Stegostoma tigrinum: one gene and its partners. The protein of the gene in region 1 purifies or fractionates together with the protein of each later gene. This does not show direct contact. Links are inferred from orthologs where the notes say so. Each region holds a gene or a part of one and is shown in the gene's direction. Other genes may lie near its edges. The genes, in order: transcription regulator protein BACH1-like, fam83d and hmmr.

Region 1 (7,696 bases):
AATCAGCACTTTCTCAGGAAACCAGAAGTTGTAGACATAACGCACAATCTCCATCCAGCCAGTTTTATGACAGAGCCTGAAGGAGGGAAGCGACGTTCCACTCTGAATTAATATTCAACTTCACCTCTGTCTTTCAGGAATGACATTGAAGATGATCTCACATCAAAAGCAAGGTCTGAGAAGCAAAGATTAAAAGTTCAACTCTCACCCACAAAAGCAAAAGACCAGACTGCAAATCTGTTAATATGAAAAAGTCAGTCAAGCTGGACGTTGACTCTATTTCACCATCTACAGGTGCTGCTAGATGCACAGTTTCTCTAGCACTTTTCAATTATTGTTTCAGATTTCTGTCATCTGCAGGACTCTTAAGACCAAAATATTTGTGTAAACCTATTTAAATGGGCCACCAGGATGTGTTGCCATTAAGGGGATACTGTGTCATATTCTGAGCAATTTTTGTCAGTGACTTTGTTCCAGGATTTATTGCTAAATGGTTTGGCTTGCATTGTTATCACAACTGGGTTCTGGTTGTCTTCAGTAAAGAGCTGGACAGCACCTTGGGGCAGCTAGTGATCATGGACTGATTATTGACATTAATTACAGGATAGAACTTGGCCAAACTCCACCAGAACCATATGTCCCCAAAGTCTAGAAAGGTGTGATCTGACATCATCTTGGCATCACTCAAGCTATTAACATCATCATCGTTAACCCATTTACTATAAGGTTCTCGTCTCATGGTCTCACCCCCTCCTCTCTTCCAGGGTCCCCCACTGGAGGAAAATATCCACTCACGGTATTATAGAATTAGGCAGTACAGAATCTGGCTGACAAACGAGAAGCTGGAAAAATTCAGCAGGTCAGGCAATATCTGGAGGAAAAGAGCAGTCAATGTTTCGGGTATTACCCTTCCTCAGGACTGGATGTGGGGGTAGGTGGAACTGCAGATAAAGAGATGGGGGTGTGGAGTAGAATGGTGGTGATAGGTGGATACTGATGGTAGTATGACTTGGTTGGTTAATGGGATGGATGAATCCAGTTGGTAGCTGGAAGGAAGGGTCAGAAGGTGGAATGGAAGAGAGGAGGTGGCAGTGGAAGATGAGGTGGGTGATGGTGGGAAGGTTATTTGAAATTAGGGAACTCAATGTTGAGTCCTCTGGGCTGTAGGGTGCCCAGGCGGAAGATAAGGTGTCGTTCTTCAAATTTGTATTCCAAGTTTCTGAGACACTGAGGAAGCCAAGGACGGGCAGGTCGGAAGGGGAGTGGGGTGAGGAATTGAATTGGGCAGTGACCGGGAAGTTAGGTTGGCTGTTATAGGCCAGGCAGAGTTGCTCGGTGAAATGATCACCTCGTCTACGTTTGGCATCACCGACGTAGAGAGGACCACACCGGCAGCAACAGATGCGATAGATTACATTGGAGGAGATGCAGGTGAAACTCCATCTCACCTGTTCCCTTGTTCACATGTTCTTTATTTAAAAAAAAACAATCAGGGCCTGAAAAAAAATTTCACAGGAAGCAACCATCACACACACCTACTTCCACTCAGCTTTGTCTCCACTTTGCTTCCAGGAGTGGAAACTTGGAGAAAAGGGCTATCTACTGCAGAGATGGTTATTCCTTTCTGTGGGGAACCCATGGAGTTATCCAACATCTGCCAAGGGAAAGTTGTGGTACCATCAAGCAAACTTTTGCTTCCTTGAAGTTGCGATGAGGGACGTCAATTGTTCTGGTGGATCACTTCACTGTGCCCCAGCAAGCATCCAGCAAATCACACACTGCACAAAATGAGTTTTCAGAGGTGAAGGCATTGAACAATAAGAACATAGTGGACCAGAAAACCTGTTCTAACAATGAGGATGAGACTGAGGCTGCTAACCAGGTGATGTGTGATGAAACACCCAAGAAAATACAAACAGGGTCCAAAGAGATACATTCCGGACATGCTTATATACAGATGTTTCATTAGATCCTTTATTACCTGTTGGATACAAACAGTGAAACCTTCCCTTTATGCAGCCCTGCTGCTTTATTCTGCTATTCACCGCTGTTTGCCCAGGGGCACATCGCAGAGAGAGAAGGCTGAAGCTTTGACCACATGCAGTGTTGTCCCTTGCACCCAGCCCCTAGAAGGATCCCAGGTGTCGGTGAAGCAAAAAATGGAAAATAACACACTAATACACTGATGTACAGGCTGATACAGGTTTTAAAAGGGAATTAGATAAATAGTTGAAGAAAAAATCCATATTGATATGAGAAAAGATTAGGGGATTGGGATAAACTGATTGCTCTTTAAAGGAATTGGCATAGATTTGACGGGCTGATTAGCTCCTCTGTGCGAAAGTTATTTTGTTCTAAGTCTCTGTTGATCCTGGCCGTCACTGTGATGTCCAGTATTGAAGGTCGAAATAACAAACGATTTTATGAGGGTTCTGTGTGTAGTTTAAAGAAAAAAAAAGGTATTGTGATTTAACGAGAAGAGATATTGTGGTTTGTAAATCAGTTACACAGTTTTGGCTGGCATTAGTACCTTACACTAAGTTACGCACGCGGTTGTTGTTGCTCTTTTGAGTATAATCTTTCACGACATGCTTGAGCGAATCAGTTGAGAAATGAGACGTTAAACGATCCCAATGATCACACGTCAAAGTACATACCACTTCTGTGAAAGGAAATCCTACCCAGTTTCAGGGCAGTGGCTCAACTGGCTTTTGGACATGAACATAGAGTTTTCAGCAATTGGAGCTTTGTACGGTGCACACTCCCACATCGAAATTACACGAGCTTTGTCCTAACCTGTTTAATTGTTCCACGTATGAAATGTCAATCGATCTGTATGAATGAAAGAGGCGTCTCCAGCAGCTTAATGGTGACACCGCTCACTGTCAATTACAATCCACATGATCCGATTATTTACTGTTATAACCAGCGCACTCATGTCCCAAACAAAAATCTCACTTCCCCAGGCATTAGCAGACTCTGTGTACTTTTTGACTTATGATTAGTAACAGCTATTCGATTCCGCCTGCTGCAATTCTCCAGCTTTTAAGTGAAACAGAAACAAAGGTATAAGCTACCATCAGCACGCTGTTAAACAGGCGCACACTGGGCGGAGTGACAGAACACTGGGTGCATTCACAGCCAAATCATCTTTCCACACCTCCTTGTTTGTTCTCCCCAAATCCTCTTTGCACTCGCCTATTCCGCCTTTCCATCGCACTATTCCAAATTCTGTCAGTCGGGGCTCAGTTGATTGCTCTCACTTCTGAGTTAGAGTTCAAGTTTCACTGCAGACTTGGTAAAAATCCAAGCTGTCACTTTACTGAAGTACTGGAGGACCGTTGCACCATCCCAGATACCAACCTTGCAATGAAACTTTAAAACAGAGACCCACGGTTGCCCTTTCATAAAAGATCCTAATGCACTTTTTGAAGACCTGGGGAATTGTTTCCAGGTTCTTTTTCCCCAATTAACATTAAAATAATCAATAACATAGAAGCATAATACAAATGTTGGAAATTCGAAATTTTAAAAAATGAACTGAACTCAGTAGATCTGACAGTATCTGTGGAGAGAAATATACCTTACATTTTGAGTTAAATATGGCTGAAATTTTGTCCATTTACCCCTTTATCACAAAAATAAATCAGTTGATTGTTATCAAACTGCTACGTGTGAGAAATTGAGATTTGTTATCAAGCTGAGAGATTACACTTTCAAATATATTCAATATTTTCCGTTGGCTGTAAAACTGAGACGCTATTATCGTTTCTTCCTTCTCAGCTTCCCTTCATCCAGTCCTCCTCCTACCCCTCGTTTCACCATCCCTCTTCCTTCTCTCCATCTTGTCTTTTCACCATCTCTCACTTCATTTTTCTCTCTTCTGTCGTCAATCCATCCACCGCGCCTGTCTCCCTTTCTCTGTTCCCTTCCTCTCTATCATTCCTCCTCTCTCCACGTTATATCTTTCCACCATGTTTCACGTTCTCTCCTTCCCCTCTCCCAATATCTCCGTCCCTTGTTCCCTCGCCCCTATCACTCCTTTTCTGTCATCCACTCTCCACTTCCCCAGTCTCTCCAACCCTTTCTGTCTGCTCCTCAATCTCAACCCATTTCTCAATCTGCTTCAGTACGATCTTTCTACCATCTCTCACCAATCCCTTTCTCTCTCCCACATCTCTGTCCACACTTCCACTCACTCATGTCCCCCGACCCACACTCTCCCCTCCCTTTTCAACCTCCCCATCCACACTCAACCCCATCGCTTTCCACTCCCCCACCCAGTTTCCCTCTCTTTACACTGTCTTGTGCTTTCCACAGTTCCGTTCCACACACACACACACTTTCTCTTCTCTTCTCCCTCCCCCTCTCTCTCTCCCCCCCTCCCTTCCTTTTCTCTGTCTGTCTGTCTATCTCTCTCCCTCCATTCGCCTCGGCCAAGTTTCCTCGACTCTCTGGTGGACGATGACATCATCTAGCTGACGAAATCCGGGTCGAGGACACAGTTTGACGGTTGTCAACCGCGACCAATGGGCGTGCAGCGTCAAGTGAAAGGTCCGTCGATTGGACGGACCCAGAGGATGGGAGGAGGAACTCCGACGGTTGCAGCCCCGCCGCTGTGGTGTTTGGAGTGGTCACGTGAGGGGGCGGGTAGTGGACGGTTGGAGCCTGTGTGGGGGGGAAAAAAGGAAGAAAATTGAGCCTGATCAGCGGTGAGTGAGGAACCTGGGTCACGTTGGTCTAGTGTTTGAGTGTTCTTTTGGCGGTATGTGTATAAGGTGAGGGGGTATGTTGGAGTGGGTTCGGTTGGGGCGGGGTGGCCGTCGCTGCTGTGACTGCCTGAGGGGTTGTTGCTTTGGGAATGGGCCGGGCCGCTCCGACTCTCTCTCTCTCTCTCTCTCTCTCACACACACTCACACACACACACACAGCACCACCGCGGCAACTGCAGCGGCTCCCGGACCCTGTGAGCGCCGCTGTGGATCAGGCTCCCGCATTGAGCCTGGGAGACTCCGTCTTCCACGAAAAACCTCCCGGAGCCTGACTTCCTCCACCGCAGCCCCCCCGCCCGAAACTTAAAAGAAGTTTGTTTTTGTTTTCTGTGTGCTGTAACATGGAGATGATCAAATTTGTCATGGTGTTCAACTTCCTGAACATATGTTAACTTCCTCGTCAGGAGCTTCTACATTTCTTCTCTTGAGGGTGGGCGAATCTGCCATCGTCGTTCTTACGTTAGATGCCTGACCAGCAGCCTATATTCCTATTTAGTAAAGTGCAATCGGACTTGTCTCCCAGCTTCTAGGTTCGGGCTTTAATGTTAAAACACTGTCAACCGGTCGTTATTAACCTCAGATGATTCTTACATATAGTTATAAAAACAGATGAACAATTCACCTCGAAGAGAGGGGTTTAAATATACAACACTCGTTTGTAGCCAAAATGACTTGTGCAAATGTTGGTCATCACTTATCCTTCGTGCTTGTACCTGGGCTTTGCTTACAGTATGTAAAGATTCAGCGTAGCACAGATGGTTAATACTTCTTGAAATGATGATTCTGTCATCTACGGTTCAGTTGATAATACTATCTCTGTGAGCAGATTGTAGAGACGCTCGTTGTATGCAGAAAGTAGATCGGGTGTTCTTTAAATTGCATACTGCCCTGCAAAACAGCATTGAATTAAACCATTCCAATAGTTCAGATGTACGCCACAGTCTGGAGAGGGATAATAGATATATATGGCAGTAGTTCAAGCGTTTTGTTAATGCCACCTCAACACAAATATCGTGACATTATATTCATTAAATTGTTTATATGAGAAGAAATCCAACTTCTTTGTAGCTTTAACTCTTAACTTACAGAATCAACTTTATTCATGTGTCAGTGCTCGTGTTTGAATGATCAGAGTACACTACTCCAGATGGACTGCTCATTAATAAACAAAATAGATTTTTTTGATCAATTCAATTACAAGTAATTTTATTTACTTATCCACTTTCTCAATGCCCTGCATATTTTTCCTAATCAATATGTAATATTACTGTTCCATCAAATAGATTCTTCTATTATTCAATTCCTTATTCCAGTTTAATGCAGATTTAATGTAAAATACTGAATTACCTGAAAGATCTAAATCTTTTTTGAACCCAAGTGTTACCTCTTATTATTTGTCCTGCCTCCGAGCCAGAATAACCTGCAGACTATTAAATAACTAATCTCTTCCCCTTACCGATTCTAGCAAGAGGCTTGAACCTAAGTTCAGTATTCACCTTTTCAATTTGTTTCTAGCCTAAGATGTTTCTGCTTTGTGTTATGTTAAATCCACTTTTATATCCAACTTTACTTTGGTTTAGTAATTAATTATGGAAAGCTAAATTTATCACAAGGTTTCTGTAACTTTCATTTATTTGTGTCCATTCACTCCCCTCAATCTGTAGTGTTGTAATATGTTTGCAAATTGGTGCTTTTTTTTCCAGACTCTGGTTGTAGATTGAATCTAACCCCAAAATTTCATCATAATTTGGCTATATTCATCTTTGCTTTGTTGCTTGCTCTGCTGCTATTTCCTTTTAATGCTGCAGCAACTTGAATGAGTTATTTTGTAACTCCCAAATGATATCTCATCAACGGGTCATCTATCTTTCCTATATACATTCTCTCACTTCTTTTTTGTACTAATTTATAAGTCATTTCTTAACTAACTAATTTTCAGTGTATTTTTTAAATGGTAAAACTGAAACACTTTTGGTTTAACTGGGTTTCTAATTTGTAGTGCATCATATTTGACTTCTAGCATTTATTTCTAATTCCATTGGGTTGCTCTGGATCTTTCTCCAGTTAACATAAGAATACTTAGTTTTCTCTGGGTGCTGAGGCCACAGGTTGTTAAACAGCATACTCAAAAACTGATTGCACTAACAATATTTTAGGTACTGGCTTATAATTGTAGCCAATACAATTTAATCACCTAAACCTTTCTACAAATGTTATCATGTTGAAGATGAAGAATCTTTCAACTTATTGAGATCTTAGATGTTTTAATTTCCTTTTCTCTCTTTCTTTCCCCCTTTCCAAGTCTTCATAGTTTGGGACTATGGCCAGCATAGACTGGTTGGACTGAAGGGTTTGTTTCAGTACTGTATGACTAATACTGAGACTATAATGCTAATTTTTTTTCTGCCATTGGACTTTGGTGAGAGAGCAGATGGGGAAGGGGTATTGGAGGAAGAAAAGGAACATCGAAATCAAACTTTTAAGTGCTGTTATGTAATTTTTCCCTATCTAAATCATCATGTCTGATAAGTGAGTAACTCTGAGCATTACTTTCAGCGTGCAGTTTTCACAATCTGTAAATTGTGTTTTATGAGCAAATCTGTTTCGTTGTCAGAAACAAATTGCAGGCATTGATCCTGTCATATTAGTTGATTGCTCCTCATTATGAATTTTGTAAGCTATAATTTTTCTCACCCATAAAACAATATAAAATTACATACTTCTTGACTTTGAAAAGACCAATCACATTGTGGGTGAATTATAATCATTTATATCAAATTATTTTAAATTATTCTCCACCCCTCATATTGCACTGTCTCTGAAACAGCTGCAAGATGATTTTCAATGCATTATTTTATAGTTGTAATATTTTATGGTGGGAAGGAAGACCAGGATGAATTTACATTGTGATGCCAGTTTCAGTT
Region 2 (7,556 bases), on another chromosome or scaffold:
TCTGACACTCACTCAAGTGATTGAAATAAACTCGAGATGATGTGTGTACCTACTGCCTAAACTCCAAATATTATTTTCTGGAATAACAAAGTGTGAAGCTGGATGAACACGGCAGGCCAAGCAGCATCTCAGGAGCACAAAAGCTGACGTTTCGATGAAGGGTCTAGGCCCAAAACGTCAGCTTTTGTGCTCCTGAGATGCTACTTGGCCTGCTGTGTTCATCCAGCTTCACACTTTGTTATCTTGGATCCTCCAGCAGCTGCAGTTCCCATTATCTCTGATCATTATTTTCTGGGACTGTTTTGTGGACAGTACATTGGCACAAGGTTTTAACCAATTTAGTTCTTCCCTGTTTATTTTCATCCTGTTCGTGAAACTGTGTCAGAGCTTAACACTAACTCTGGTGAGTAAGTAACCCACCTTTGTGCAACATTTTGAGGAATGAATATTTGTTCCCACCTCAACTTCCCCCTTCAAGATGGGAGGCAATGCACTAAATGCTCTGTAACCTCTGTCATGGATATAAGTAGGTAAGTGTGGTTTGGGGGCAACACAGCATCTCAGGCAAGGGGTGAGACAAATCTTGCAGCAATAGGCTTATGTATGCAACCCAGAGAGGAATGGAAATAATAAATCAACAATCCTTTCCCTTTCTAATAATCCAGTTGTCAAATAATAGTTTATTGTGTCATTAAAGTATCACCTAGAATGATAAAAGCAGCAGGTACATAGGAGTGCCACCATCTGCAAGTTCTTCTCCAAGATCCACATCATCCTGACTTAGAAACGCAGCAACAGGAGAAGGACATGTCAAGCCCACTGCACCATTTAATGTGATAATAGTTAATCAAATACTTCAATGCCTTTTACCCACAATGTCCCCATAACCCTGCATACCACTCATGTCTATCTCCCTCATTCCTTCAAACTCAAGAGAATACAGGCCCAATTTGTCCAGTGTCTCTCAGTCAGACAGTCCTGCCATCCCAGGAACAAGTCTGCTGTACTCCTATTGCATTCTCTCTCTCTGCCAATGATATCCTCCCTCCGATAAGGAGACCAAAACTGCACACAGTATACCAGGTGCAGTCAGATCAAGCTTCTCTACAATTCTATACAATTGAAGTGAGACTTTACTACTGCTGTATGCAAATTCTCTTGCAATAGGTCTGCCATTTCATTAGCATTCCTAAAGGTTTGCTGTACCTGCATGTTAGCCTTCAGTGACATATTGATAAGGACACCTACTACCAGACAAAGGTCCCTTTGTACATCTACACTTTCTAACCTTATTATTTAAAAAATATTCTGCGCATCTGATCCTCCTACTAAAGTGGATAATCTTACAGTTTTATTATGTTGAGGTGATGGCCTAGTGCTATTATTGCTCGAATATTAATTTGGAACCCCAAGTAATATTTGGGGGACCTGGGTTCAAACTCTGCCAAGGCAGATAGTGGAATTTGGATTCAATAAAAATCTGGAATTTAGAACTCTAATGATGACCATGTTAGGGGAAAGCCCCATCTGATTTGTGAATGACCTTTAGGGAAAAGAAACTGCTTTCTTAGGCTGGCCTACATGTGACTCCAGACCTGCAGCAATGTAGTTGACTCTTGACTGCTCTCAGCAATTAGAGATGGGCAATAAATGCTGGCCATGTCAGTGGTGCCTACATCCCATGAATAAAAGGGGAAAAATATATATACTCTCTCAGCCATGCTCTTGCCCAGCCACTGCTTTACATCTTCACAACACACTATCCCACTTATCTCTGTATTATCTGAACATTTGGGAATATTACATTTGGTTACCACGTCCAAATCACATATATACTTCGAGCAGCTGGGACACAAGTACAGATCCTGGGAGTACCCCACTAATCAGAGTCTGCCAACATGACCATTCTAGAGTTTTATTTCTGTTAAATCCATCCATAATTAATGTGGATGGACATTTTGGTTGGCATGGACCAGTTTGAGCTGAAGGGCCTTTCTCTGTGCTGTAGGACTCTATGACTCTTCTGTCATGTTTTAAGTCTAATTGCCGAGCGAATATTTTTGTGCAGATGTTTGATTTCTCATTTCTCTGCGTCATCTAGGTCGGGCAATTGTCTTGATCTACACCTGACCACGTTAGATGTCAGTGATAATGGGAACTGCAGATGCTGGAGAATCCAAGACAACAAAATGTGAGGCTGGATGAACACAGCAGGCCAAGCAGCATCTCAGGATGAAGGGTCTCGGCCCGAAACATCAGCTTTTGTGCTCCTGAGATGCTGCTTGGCCTGCTGTGTTCATCCAGCCTCACATTTTGTTGTCACGTTAGATGTCTGCTCCTTTCGGCACTGCAGCAACTCCGGGGGGAGGGGGGGATCTTTGTCAATCACTTCTTGGACAATTTAGAAATGTGGTAGGGAAGTTTGATGACCTTTATTGTCTTCTCACAATGGTGAAATGAATCAAAGTCACAATGTTTACAGTTAAATTTGATTATATTTTGTTCAGTATAAATGAGAGTTGTTGCATTTTGGTATCTGGAGGGCATTGTTAAGTGCAGCAGTGTTATTTTTTATGCTTTGGACTTAAGTGTAACTTACATATAATTCATCCATGGCCTTTCTGGTAAGTGGCGCGTCTGGGAGTGCGTGCCCTGTCTCGGCTCCATTCCGTTGTGGTGGTCGGTCTGCGGGATGGTCTTTGATGTCTGGCTGGCTATCCCCCTTTCCCTTTCCAGTGGATTCCTGTATGCATTTCGTTTCGCGGGGGGGGGGGGGGGGGGTTATGGGCACTGAGTTGACTCGGCGGCAGGGTATTGCGGAGGCTGGAAGGTGTTGGACCGAAGGCAGAGGGTGCTGAAGTTGTTCGGCGGGTTTGTGGTGAAGCAGCGTTGACGTTTTGCATTTCTTCGGTACTAAAGGAAGAGATGGAAGTGTGGTAGGCTGTATACAGGGAAAAAGGTGGGACAGAAGGAAGGCCCCAGAATGATGGAAGGTGGAGATCATAGTTGTCACAGAAAACAGAGCAAAGGGAGATGTGATAATTATATAGATGAGAGATAACATATGGATGGGGTAGTGTAGGGGGAGGGGCTTAGATTAGTTCACAGGTCGGTGCAACATCGACGGCCGAAGGGCCTGTTCTGCGCTCTATTGTTCTATGTTCTTGGTTCTAAAATCCATGACAATACATCACCTCCTATCCCAAGTAATTTTCAATTTAGCTAACCAATCTCCTGTCTGAGACCTTACCAAAAGCCTTCTGAAAATCCCAGTATACTACTGCTTTTGATTCCCCTTTATCAGTTTTGTGAGAGCGTCCTCAACTCCAAATTGGAACTATTTTGCCATTCCTTCACTATCACAAAATCCGAGAAATCTCTTCTACAGCGCTGCGGGTGGCCCTCCAACGCAATGCTTGTGATGGTTGAGGGAAGTGGCTCAGCAGCACTTTTTTTTCTAGCGTAATCAGGAACCAGCAATAAAGCAAAGCCCAAATTCCCTTAATGAATTTAAGAAAACTGACCTCGGCGTAGTACAATATATATTAGGTATGCAAATACTGCCCACTCTGCTGGGGAGATTTCCTCACGTAACCTCCAATGACCCACCCCCACACTCTTGCTATTGGCCTATTGTCCAGGAGCACCGACTTTCGACAGCCAATTGGAGACTTTCTGAGCCAATTGGTTGTTTAACTTTAACTGTTTCACTAGCTCCCAACCATGCAACCATCTTGTTAGCAAATAAACTTGAAAATGTCTGTGGGGTCGCATTAGCAGTGTCCTCTTGAGCCAGGCTTCAAGACCCACCTGTTCTACAGATGTATGTCTGAACAGGTTGTTTAAAAAAATCCCTACCTCTGGACTATCAGCCATAGAAGTCGTCATTGGACAAGCATATGGACGTACATGGAATAGTTAAGTTAGATGGGCTTAAGATGGGTATGACAGGTCGGCACAACATCGCGGGCCAAAGGGCCTGTACTGTGCTGTAATGTTCTATGTTCTATGTTCTATAACATGTCTAAACAGGTTTAAAAAAAAGTGATTGTGCACCTATTCAAAGAAAATGAATAATAAGTTTCATTAAAATCACTGTGGATAATCGCCAGCAGATGATTTTCTATCCCTGGCCAATCCTGGAGGGTTGGTGATATCAATTTTATAAACAAAGAAATTTCTGACAGAGATAGTAGGAGCTGCCGATGCTGGAGAATCTGATATAACAAGGTGTAGAGCTGGATGAACACAGCAGGCCAAGCAGCATCAGAGGAGCAGGAAAGCTGACGTTTCAGGTCTAGACGCCTCCTCTGATGCTGAGATAATAAAATGTGAGGCTGGATGAACACAGCAGGCCAAGCAGCATCTCAGGAGCACAAAAGCTGACGTTTCGGGCCTAGACCCTTCATCAGTCTCTGGTTGGATCAGACATGAAAGTACAAGTTTGCAAAGGAGTGATGATTCTCTGTGTGTGTGTGTGTGAAAACAGACTGTCAGTGAGTGGGCGGAGCTTTCCCAGCTGTTTTTGGATGAATTTAAACCTGTAGCCAATCGCGATGGGGCTGTTGTCAAAATCCGTTAAAGAGTAAAAAGTAAGGGAGAGTCCTGAGCTGGTGGGATTGGGAGAAGTAACCGGGAGACTGGTTAGACAGCTCTCGCAGCAGCCAATCGCTTCTCGTAGTCTGTGTTTGAATGGACTGTTGGTGAATTTCAATCGTGGGGAACGGGAAGAAAATATACGGCGAGTCAAGGAGCGCGGCTGCTTTTGTAACAAGGGATTTTCGAGACTCGTCAAGGAAGACTCTAAACTTCTGTCTGTGCAAAACTAATTCTGGGCGTGCAAGCCGGCAGAAGCCCCCCCCCCCCCAATTCTGGGCGTGCAAGCCGGCAGAAGCCCCCCCTCCCAAATTCTGGGCGTGCAAGCCGGCAGAAGAACCCCCCCAAATTCTGGGCGTGCAAGCCGGCAGAAGACCCCCTGTCCCTGGAGTGAAGGGAGCGGTGAAAGCAGGCTCTGGGTCTGAAATCTCCAGCTTTACCTGGGACCCTGGACCATGAATGATTCCCAGTGCCTCGATGACCTGCCGATCGTGTCCAGGTGGTGTGGTGCTGCCAGGCAGGAGCTGGGACTGAGAGAGTTTTATAGCGAGACCCAGCGCCTGGCTTTGGAAGAGCTGATCTCCGGCGGCGAGGAGGCTTACAGCGCCTTACTAAAGAGAGAGAGAGTCCAGGGCTTCCTGTCGGCCGATGAGATCGCCAGCATCCTGCAATCCACCATCAGCCCCCCTGGGCTAGACAGCCAGCCACTCGAGCAATCCTTCACCTGCTCCAGTGACCTAAGCTCGGGGACCTATTTCCCCGATGCCTCGGACATTGAGGTGCCGGTTCTGGACATTGGGTGGCCGGTGTATCCGAGCAACTGGTACCGGGGTGTGACCCAGGTGGAGGTGTATTTCCAGCCCAGCTATGGGGAGCTCATCTACAGCTGCAAGGAGGCGATCAGGAAGCTCATCAGAAAGGCAGAGAAGGTAGGTTAGGGGGAATATGATTAACCTGGTACTTTCCATACCCGCCCCTTGCGCGGATTTGTTTTTCATTTTGGACGTTTCATTTCAATCTAGATTCTCTTGTATGTTGAATATTTAATACATGTTAAATGCCAAAGATAGAAACTTACTTTTTCCAAAATACAGAGCTATATTTTAACAGAGTTAATCTAGCCAGTGGAAGGAAAGGTTGAGTGACTGGAAACAGCCAGCAGTGTTGTTTGGATGGTAGAATGGATACGGTGGAGTTCCCCAGGGTTCGGTTTCAGCACTTTCTTTGTTCTATATTAAGACCTTTGTGCAAAAGACTGTCAGATACAGCGTAAAATTAGAACTCTCCAGTCCTGTAATGATTAGGATTTCTTGCTGTTACCATTACACCCAGGGTTGGATTCTTGTCCAGGCAATGATTCCCCACAGTTTACACAAAGTCTTTGTGTAATGTCACTGCCCTTGTAATACAGACCTTGCACACTCAGGATTAAATAGATCCCAAGCCCATCACAGCAGCTGGGAGCAATTCAAAACCAGTGGCTAAATCTGAAAATATGAAGCAATGTTTAATGTAACAGTGACCGCTCCATGGTCATCCGTCCATTGGAAAAGCCTTCTTGTTTTGGCCTACATGCAATGAGGCTGAATCTGAAATTTCAAGCCGTTCAGTTCAAGGGGAATTTGTGGTAGGAAAATAATGCAAGCCTTAACACAGGGTCTCACATCCCCTTCGAAGAATAAAGAGGGGAAAATGTTCAAAGACAATTAAAGCTAAATGCCAGGAACAACTTGGCCATAGCCTGAGAGTTGAGGCCAGACAGTTTGAGAGATGTTAAGAACCACCTCTACACAACCAGGGTGTCAAAGGTTTGGAGCTCTCTTCGACAAATAGCAGTGGATGCTGGATCAGCTAATTTTAAAACTGAGATAGATATGTTTTTGGTAAGTAAGGGGATGTGGTCTAAAGACAGTTATAGGGAGTTAAGTCAGACATTGGCTGCTATCTCATTGAATTCTGGAACAAACTCAAAGGGTTGAATGGCCTACTCCTGTTTCTATGTTCCTATAAGCTTTTTTTTGCACTGTATAATATTCCAAGAGGTTCAGAATCAAGCCTGAAATTTCTTCAGAAGGTAAATATTTGGGAAACATTTGTACTGAGATTACTAATAAATGTGAGGAATTTATATGATGGCGATAGAACTGTTCTGGTTGATAATATATTGGTTCTAGAGTGGGACAAATAAGCCACTCCTGCTGATCTGTTCTATTTGTTTCATGAAAAATTTGTTTTCACTAGTAGCTTGGGTACTGTGATTTATTGTCTGTGCATTTAGACGTAGTAAGATTGCAGTGAAAACATGTAAAGACAGTGAAAGGCTGACCTGTTATTCAGTGCCCTGATTAATTGATGACCGTCTTGAGGTGCAGTGGTAGTGTCACTATCCTTGGACTGAGGGGCCCAGGTTCTAGTCCCACCTGCTCCAAAGGTATGCAATAACCTTTCTGAACAGATGGTTTCGAAAAATAGGTTAATTGATGGTCCAACAGATCCTGTTGTGCACAACAAGGTCAGAACTAAATTTTGTTGCTGACCTAGAAACTATTGTTCATTTAGTCATTTAACACCTGCAACGGAATAAGATAGGGCTCAGGTTTCTTGTTCACTGTGACTGCTTTTAATGTTTGCCCAAACCATGAGTTTTGGATGTTAGATGTTCAAATGATATTTGCATGTTTTTAAACACTGAAGTTAATTGTTCTGTGCCTCAGGCAGGATGAGTACAGACAGAAATTTTCTAACTAAAAAAAGTATAAAATTTTACAGATGCACGAAATCTAAAAAAGTAAAGAATGCACAAAGGGAGTGCTGATAAGTTATGCCGTACTTTTTTTTAGAGGGAATAAATGATTTAACTATTGGTAGCACCCTCCCCTCTGAGCCAAAGAGCTGAGAGTTCAAACCAGGCTCAGAAAAATAAAGCACATAATCTAGGGCGATGTGCCCAGAGCAATACC
Region 3 (7,598 bases), on another chromosome or scaffold:
GAGTGGGGGTGAAGTGTGGAGGGTCTCCAGGTCCAGGAGGTGTGGGGGTGAAGTGTGGAGGGTCTCCTGGTCCAGGAGGTGTTGGGGTGAATTGTGGAGAGTCTCCTGGTCCAGGAGGTGTTGGGGTGAAGTGTGGAGGGTCTCCTGGTCCAGGAGGTGTTGGGGTGAAGTGTGGAGGGTCTCCTGGTCCAGGAGGTGTGGGGGTGATGTGTGGAGGGTCTCCTGGTCCAGGAGGTGTTGGGGTGAAGTGTGGAGGGTCTCCTGGTCCAGGAGGTGTGGGGATGAAGTGTGGAGGGTCTCCTGGTCCAGGAGGTGTTGGGGTGAAGTGTGGAGGGTCTCCTGGTCCCGGAGGTGTTGGGGTGAAGTGTGGAGGGTCTCCTGGTCCAGGAGGTGTTGGGGTGAAGTGTGGAGGGTCTCCTGGTCCAGGAGGTGTGGGGATGAAGTGTGGAGGGTCTCCTGGTCCAGGAGGTGTGGGGGTGAAGTGTGGAGGGTCTCCTGGTCCAGGAGGTGTTGGGGTGAAGTGTGGAGGGTCTCCTGGTCCAGGAGGTGTGGGGATGAAGTGTGGAGGGTCTCCTGGTCCAGGAGGTGTTGGGGTGAAGTGTGGAGGGTCTCCTGGTCCAGGAGGTGTTGGGGTGAAGTGTGGAGGGTCTCCTGGTCCAGGAGGTGTGGGGATGAAGTGTGGAGGGTCTCCTGGTCCAGGAGGTGTGGGGATGAAGTGTGGAGGGTCTCCTGGTCCAGGAGGTGTGGGGGTGAAGTGTGGAGGGTCTCCTGGTCCAGGAGGTGTTGGGGTGAAGTGTGGAGGGTCTCCTGGTCTAGGAGGTGTGGGGATGAAGTGTGGAGGGTCTCCTGGTCCAGGAGGTGTGGGGGTGAAGTGTGGAGAGTCTCCTGGTCCAGGAGGTGTTGGGGTGAAGTGTGGAGGGTCTCCTGGTCCAGGAGGTGTGGGGGTGAAGTGTGGAGGGTCTCCTGGTCCAGGAGGTGTTGGGGTGAAGTGTGGAGGGTCTCCTGGTCCAGGAGGTGTGGGGGTGAAGTGTGGAGGGTCTCCTGGTCCAGGAGGTGTGGGGATGAAGTGTGGAGGGTCTCCTGGTCCAGGAGGTGTTGGGGTGAAGTGTGGAGGGTCTCCTGGTCCAGGAGGTGTTGGGGTGAAGTGTGGAGGGTCTCCTGGTCCAGGAGGTGTGGGGATGATGTGTGGAGGGTCTCCTGGTCCAGGAGGTGTTGGGGTGAAGTGTGGAGGGTCTCCTGGTCCAGGAGGTGTTGGGATGAAGTGTGGAGGGTCTCCTGGTCCAGGAGGTGTGGGGATGAAGTGTGGAGGGTCTCCTGGTCCAGGAGGTGTGGGGGTGAAGTGTGGAAGGTCTCCTGGTCCAGGAGGTGTGGGGGTGAAGTGTGGAGGGTCTCCTGGTCCAGGAGGTGTGGGGATGAAGTGTGGAAGGTCTCCTGGTCCAGGAGGTGTGGGGGTGAAGTGTGGAGGGTCTCCTGGTCCAGGAGGTGTTGGGGTGAAGTGTGGAGGGTCTCCTGGTCCAGGAGGTGTGGGGATGAAGTGTGGAGGGTCTCCTGGTCCAGGAGGTGTGGGGGTGAAGTGTGGAGGGTCTCCTGGTCCAGGAGGTGTGGGGGTGACGTGTGGAGGGTCTCCTGGTTCAGGAGGTGTTGGGGGTGAAGTGTGGAGGGTCTCCTGGTCCAGGAGGTGTGGGGATGAAGTGTGGAGGGTCTCCTGGTCCAGGAGGTGTGGGGATGAAGTGTGGAGGGTCTCCTGGTCCAGGAGGTGTGGGGATGAAGTGTGGAGGGTCTCCTGGTCCAGGAGGTGTGGGGATGAAGTGTGGAGAGTCTCCTGGTCCAGGAGGTGTGAGGGTGAAGTGTGGAGGGTCTCCTGGTCCAGGAGGTGTGGGGGTGAAGTGTGGAGGGTCTCCTGGTCCAGGAGGTGTTGGGGTGAAGTGTGGAGAGTCTCCTGGTCCAGGAGGTGTGGGGATGAAGTGTGGAGGGTCTCCTGGTCCAGGAGGTGTGGGGATGAAGTGTGGAGGGTCTCCTGGTCCAGGAGGTGTTGGGGTGAAGTGTGGAGGGTCTCCTGGTCCAGGAGGTGTTGGGGTGAAGTGTGGAGGGTCTCCTGGTCCAGGAGGTGTGGGGATGAAGTGTGGAGGGTCTCCTGGTCCAGGAGGTGTGGGGATGAAGTGTGGAGGGTCTCCTGGTCCAGGAGGTGTTGGGGTGAAGTGTGGAGGGTCTCCTGGTCCAGGAGGTGTTGGGGTGAAGTGTGGAGGGTCTCCTGGTCCAGGAGGTGTTGGGGTGAAGTGTGGAGGGTCTCCTGGTCCAGGAGGTGTTGGGGTGAAGTGTGGAGGGTCTCCTGGTCCAGGAGGTGTGGGGATGAAGTGTGGAGGGTCTCCTGGTCCAGGAGGTGTGGGGATGAAGTGTGGAGGGTCTCCTGGTCCAGGAGGTGTTGGGGTGAAGTGTGGAGGGTCTCCTGGTCCAGGAGGTGTTGGGGTGAAGTGTGGAGGGTCTCCTGGTCCAGGAGGTGTGGGGATGAAGTGTGGAGGGTCTCCTGGTCCAGGAGGTGTGGGGATGAAGTGTGGAGGGTCTCCTGGTCCAGGAGGTGTTGGGGTGAAGTGTGGAGGGTCTCCTGGTCCAGGAGGTGTTGGGGTGAAGTGTGGAGGGTCTCCTGGTCCAGGAGGTGTGGGGGTGAAGTGTGGAGGGTCTCCTGGTCCAGGAGGTGTGGGGGTGAAGTGTGGAGGGTCTCCTGGTCCAGGAGGTGTGGGGATGAAGTGTGGAGGGTCTCCTGGTCCAGGAGGTGTGGGGGTGAAGTGTGGAGGGTCTCCTGGTCCAGGAGGTGTGGGGGTGAAGTGTGGAGGGTCTCCTGGTCCAGGAGGTGTGGGGATGAAGTGTGGAGGGTCTCCTGGTCCAGGAGGTGTTGGGGTGAAGTGTGGAGGGTCTCCTGGTCCAGGAGGTGTTGGGATGAAGTGTGGAGGGTCTCCTGGTCCAGGAGGTGTGGGGGTGAAGTGTGGAGGGTCTCCTGGTCCAGGAGGTGTGGGGATGAAGTGTGGAGGGTCTCCTGGTCCAGGAGGTGTGGGGGTGAAGTGTGGAGGGTCTCCTGGTCCAGGAGGTGTGGGGGTGAAGTGTGGAGGGTCTCCTGGTCCAGGAGGTGTGGGGATGAAGTGTGGAGGGTCTCCTGGTCCAGGAGGTGTTGGGGTGAAGTGTGGAGGGTCTCCTGGTCCAGGAGGTGTTGGGATGAAGTGTGGAGAGTCTCCTGGTCCAGGAGGTGTTGGGGTGAAGTGTGGAGGGTCTCCTGGTCCAGGAGGTGTTGGGGTGAAGTGTGGAGGGTCTCCTGGTCCAGGAGGTGTTGGGATGAAGTGTGGAGGGTCTCCTGGTCCAGGAGGTGTTGGGGTGAAGTGTGGAGGGTCTCCTGGTCCAGGAGGTGTGGGGGTGAAGTGTGGAGGGTCTCCTGGTCCAGGAGGTGTGGGGGTGAAGTGTGGAAGGTCTCCTGGTCCAGGAGGTGTTGGGGTGAAGTGTGGAGGGTCTCCTGGTCCAGGAGGTGTTGGGATGAAGTGTGGAGGGTCTCCTGGTCCAGGAGGTGTTGGGGTGAAGTGTGGAGGGTCTCCTGGTCCAGGAGGTGTGGGGGTGAAGTGTGGAGGGTCTCCTGGTCCAGGAGGTGTTGGGGTGAATTGTGGAGAGTCTCCTGGTCCAGGAGGTGTTGGGGTGAAGTGTGGAGGGTCTCCTGGTCCAGGAGGTGTTGGGGTGAATTGTGGAGAGTCTCCTGGTCCAGGAGGTGTTGGGGTGAAGTGTGGAGGGTCTCCTGGTCCAGGAGGTGTTGGGGTGAAGTGTGGAGGGTCTCCTGGTCCAGGAGGTGTTGGGGTGAAGTGTGGAGGGTCTCCTGGTCCAGGAGGTGTTGGGGTGAAGTGTGGAGGGTCTCCTGGTCCAGGAGGTGTTGGGGTGAAGTGTGGAGGGTCTCCTGGTCCAGGAGGTGTTGGGGTGAAGTGTGGAGGGTCTCCTGGTCCAGGAGGTGTGGGGGTGAAGTGTGGAGGGTCTCCTGGTCCAGGAGGTGTTGGGATGAAGTGTGGAGGGTCTCCTGGTCCAGGAGGTGTTGGGGTGAAGTGTGGAGGGTCTCCTGGTCCAGGAGGTGTTGGGGTGAAGTGTGGAGGGTCTCCTGGTCCAGGAGGTGTTGGGGTGAAGTGTTGGGGTCGGGGAAATGGATGGGGAGGTCAGAATTTGAAAGAATCTTTGCGGGGGTTGGAAGTAAACAGGGAATGTTGGGAGAACAGTCTGGGGAGAGTTACCATGGTGAAATGGTGGGGACAGTTACCACGGCGACAGGCGCTGAGCATTTCCATGGTGACGGCGTGATGGAGGATTACCATGGTAACAGTGGGGGCGAGGAACTCTGGTGGTCGGGGTGATGGTTACCCGGTTGATAGAGAAGAGGCCCGCCCCCATAACGGTCACGTGAGCGGACCAGGAGGCCGTTGGCGGTTCCCGGGCCTCTGATTGGTGCGCGGTGTCATGTGACCGAACATTCAAACGGCCGGCGGTTGGCGGGGGAGCCGGATCGAGTTATTCCATCAACTGACGGTCGCAGCTCTCGGACGGGACGAGACGGCATGTCATTCCCCAGAGCGCCGCTTAAACGCTTCAACGACAAAGTGGGTGAGTTGCGTTCCCGGGGCTCACAGGGAATCCGATCTCCGAGAACTTTCACTGTGTGTGGGTGAGTGACGGCTCCGCTGCAGGTTGAGGTCTGATCGCAGCCGCTGTCAGCTTTTTGTCATGTTCATGGGACGTGGACGGTCTTTGGCTGGGTCAGCATTTACTGCCCGTTCCCTATTGCTCCTTCAGAAGCTGCTGTTGTTTCCCACGTTCTGTTGGCCTGATGCACTTTGCCTGGTACGATCTGCACGCAAAACAAAACTTTTCACTGCACCAAGGTTCATGTGACAATGACAGATTAAATCAAAAGTATCTACTTTCCCCTTGTCCTTTTACATGGAAGCGAATGTTGGTTTGAGAAGTGCTGTCTAAGGATCTTTGTATTTCTGCAGTGCATCTTGTTGCTGGTACATACTGCTGCTACTGAGTGTCGGTGGTGGAGGGAGTGGATGCTTGTGGATGTAGTGCCAATCAAGCGAGCTGCTTTGTCCTGGATGGTGTTCCAAAAGTGATTGAAGGAGAAATTTCTCTCAATGGGAGGGTGTTGGAAATCTGCATGCAAGAAAAGCCCTTTGGCCCACTGAGTCTGTGTCTTGTGGATGATGCACACTACTGACTGGGGGTTGGTGGATGGAATGGATGCTTGTAGATATGGCGCTAGTCACGCAGACTGCTTTTTGTCCTGTTTGGTCCTGCACCCATCCAGGCCAGCATGGTGTAGGCAACTAAAGCGCCAGGCTGTTTCCGCCAGTTGTGTCTTCGCAGGGTCTTCAAGGACAGGTGTGCAAATTCCAATGTCCTGATTGAAACAGATTTTCCCCAGTCATGCGGTCATGGAGAATGAGGTTTGCTGGCTTATGCTGTGTCTACATCCCAAGTGATCAGCTTCTCAAGAAGGCCCACTTTTCACAGGTTAAGAATGACGTAAACTCTCACAGGACAGAATAAATGTCTGTGAGAACATTCTGATTTGTTGGTTTCATTTGACAGGATGATAGTGGGCCTTCCAGGTAGAGATAGAGATGGATCTCTACTTTGGACTTCTGGCTAAAGATGGTTGCAAATATATTTTGTATTGATTCTCTATCATTGAAAATGGAGATCTTTATGGAGCTTCTCCTTCAGTTAATTTACTTTTACACCATCATTCGTGTTGGGTGTTTGGCAGGACTTTGAGAATTTGGATCTGATCCAACCTGTCGATTGTGAGATCCTTTGCTTACTCAGTTGCTTGCTGCTTCAGCTAGGTTTGCATGTATGTGGTCCTTGGTAATTTCACTGCTTCAGCGTTTCATTTTTTGATATATCTTGTGTTGTTCCTGGTTGTGTGCAGAAAACATAATAAACAAGGCTCAGTCCCTTGCCTTGGTGCTATCAGTAGAGGGGGATGTGCTCGACCATTTGATCATAAATTGTGGCTAAATACAATTCTGTACTTCTAATAGCCTATAATGTCTCAATGACAATGGAGCTGCTAGATTTCCCTTAGTATTCATGGCCAGAGGAGCCCTCCACACCTCCAGTTGTTAACCCTCCGTCCCTTTATGTTGGATTGAAAGAATTCTTTTTGGGACTGCAAGAATTCCTTATAGCACTTCCTGTGCTGACACAAAAAACAGCATCAGATTATGGCTAGCATATACCCTTCAATCACAATCCATATTTCAGTAACAGCTTTTTAAAATGATGTGTCCCCATGTGTAACACAACAGTGAGCCCCAAGGGGATAACTTTGTACCATTGTCAAAAATTTTGGACAGAAGGAAATTTTAATTATCTTCATTCAAGAATGTCACTGGGGAGGACTGAGATTAGGCACAAGGATATTTTGTATATTCATACTTAAGGCAATGTTGATGGTGCTGTTTGAGTTGAACCTATGATGAAGTCAAGAAGTTGAAAGTTGGAGATATGAGGTTTGCATTGTGTCACAACTCGCTGAGGATAGTGCATTGTAATTCAAACCCATCTTTCCCTGAGTTGTCACAAATGTGAAAATTTGATTAAACCCCTGAATTGCCCAATTCTATTTAACTATAATTCAGGTTGACAGATTTAGCACACCCGCCTTTTCTATTAATAAGAAAATAATGATTGATCACAATAAAACTATTCATGACAATGGTAAAATGTTGGTTAGATGAATTTCAAACTGGATTTATAATTTATATAACTTAATCTTTAAAATATTCACTCGGGTGCACAGGGAAACAGACAAGACACAAATATTATCAATGGAGAGGAAAAAGAACATCAGGAACATAATTTTGTATCACAGGTCCAAGATCTTAAAACTAGATGAATTGGCTTCAGAATCCGTTTGAGTGTTTGATGATCAATTTGCAGTTCACTGGCGATTTGGTTGGACTCAGGTCTGTCTTGTTCCGGTGAACTTCAGTATTCGTCATTTTGACAGCTCTGAACATAGTTCCTCCTTGCTCTTTCAACAGAATTTGAGGATACAATTTTCCAGAGCAAGAGAGCGGACAGATAGGGAGATGTTGATATTGCAAGCTTTGGGCAATTTCTAATGTCTTCTGTTTTCATTCCCCTTAGGATCTGTTAGATTGCAACATGATCAATCAGAGGCTTTTTGCTATGCTGAGTTCACTTGACCCCATAACAAATTATGCCAATTGAAAAGTCAACCAAAGATAGATTGTCCAAGCAGAGTTGCTCCTAACACATCAGTAGAGCTGTTTCATCTAGGCATGGTCTTTCTAAAAGTAACATTGTAACATTTGTATCAATCACCTTCACTCATTTTCCAAATCTGCAAATAACTCCTTGTATATTCTCCCTTTTTAAAGTAGTGTGCATTTTTCTCATTTTCAGTCCATACTCAAAAAGATAAATAGGTGGGATCTCTTACAGGCAGTAGATGATTGGGGTTTATTTTGGTTAGTACTTGTGCACAATAATATTTGCTGGCCACTTACCAGTCCAAAAACAGCAGGACTTGGCTGGTGTCTTCTGGA

What was found.
Region 2: the proteins of transcription regulator protein BACH1-like (region 1) and fam83d purify together in Homo sapiens (co-immunoprecipitation; 3 studies listed by BioGRID and IntAct, counting the BioPlex papers as one, with this or other methods). This does not show direct contact. The link is inferred for Stegostoma tigrinum from reciprocal best matches to the Homo sapiens genes BACH1 and FAM83D.
Region 3: the proteins of transcription regulator protein BACH1-like (region 1) and hmmr purify together in Homo sapiens (affinity purification with mass spectrometry; 6 studies listed by BioGRID and IntAct, counting the BioPlex papers as one, with this or other methods). This does not show direct contact. The link is inferred for Stegostoma tigrinum from reciprocal best matches to the Homo sapiens genes BACH1 and HMMR.

Annotation. Positions count from the first base shown.
Region 1 is NC_081365.1:60,821,448-60,829,143, reverse strand, and holds the start of transcription regulator protein BACH1-like, read left to right. Parts: upstream 1-4,621; 5' UTR 4,622-4,712; exon of another isoform or gene 4,713-4,778; intron 4,779-7,696. UniProt on the Homo sapiens protein: Transcriptional regulator that acts as a repressor or activator, depending on the context. Binds to NF-E2 DNA binding sites. Plays important roles in coordinating transcription activation and repression by MAFK.
Region 2 is NC_081372.1:13,696,158-13,703,713, forward strand, and holds the start of fam83d (protein FAM83D), read left to right. Parts: upstream 1-4,534; 5' UTR 4,535-5,051; coding exon 5,052-5,525; intron 5,526-7,556.
Region 3 is NC_081366.1:12,723,649-12,731,246, forward strand, and holds the start of hmmr (hyaluronan mediated motility receptor), read left to right. Parts: upstream 1-4,507; 5' UTR 4,508-4,574; coding exon 4,575-4,620; intron 4,621-7,598. UniProt on the Homo sapiens protein: Receptor for hyaluronic acid (HA). Involved in cell motility. When hyaluronan binds to HMMR, the phosphorylation of a number of proteins, including PTK2/FAK1 occurs.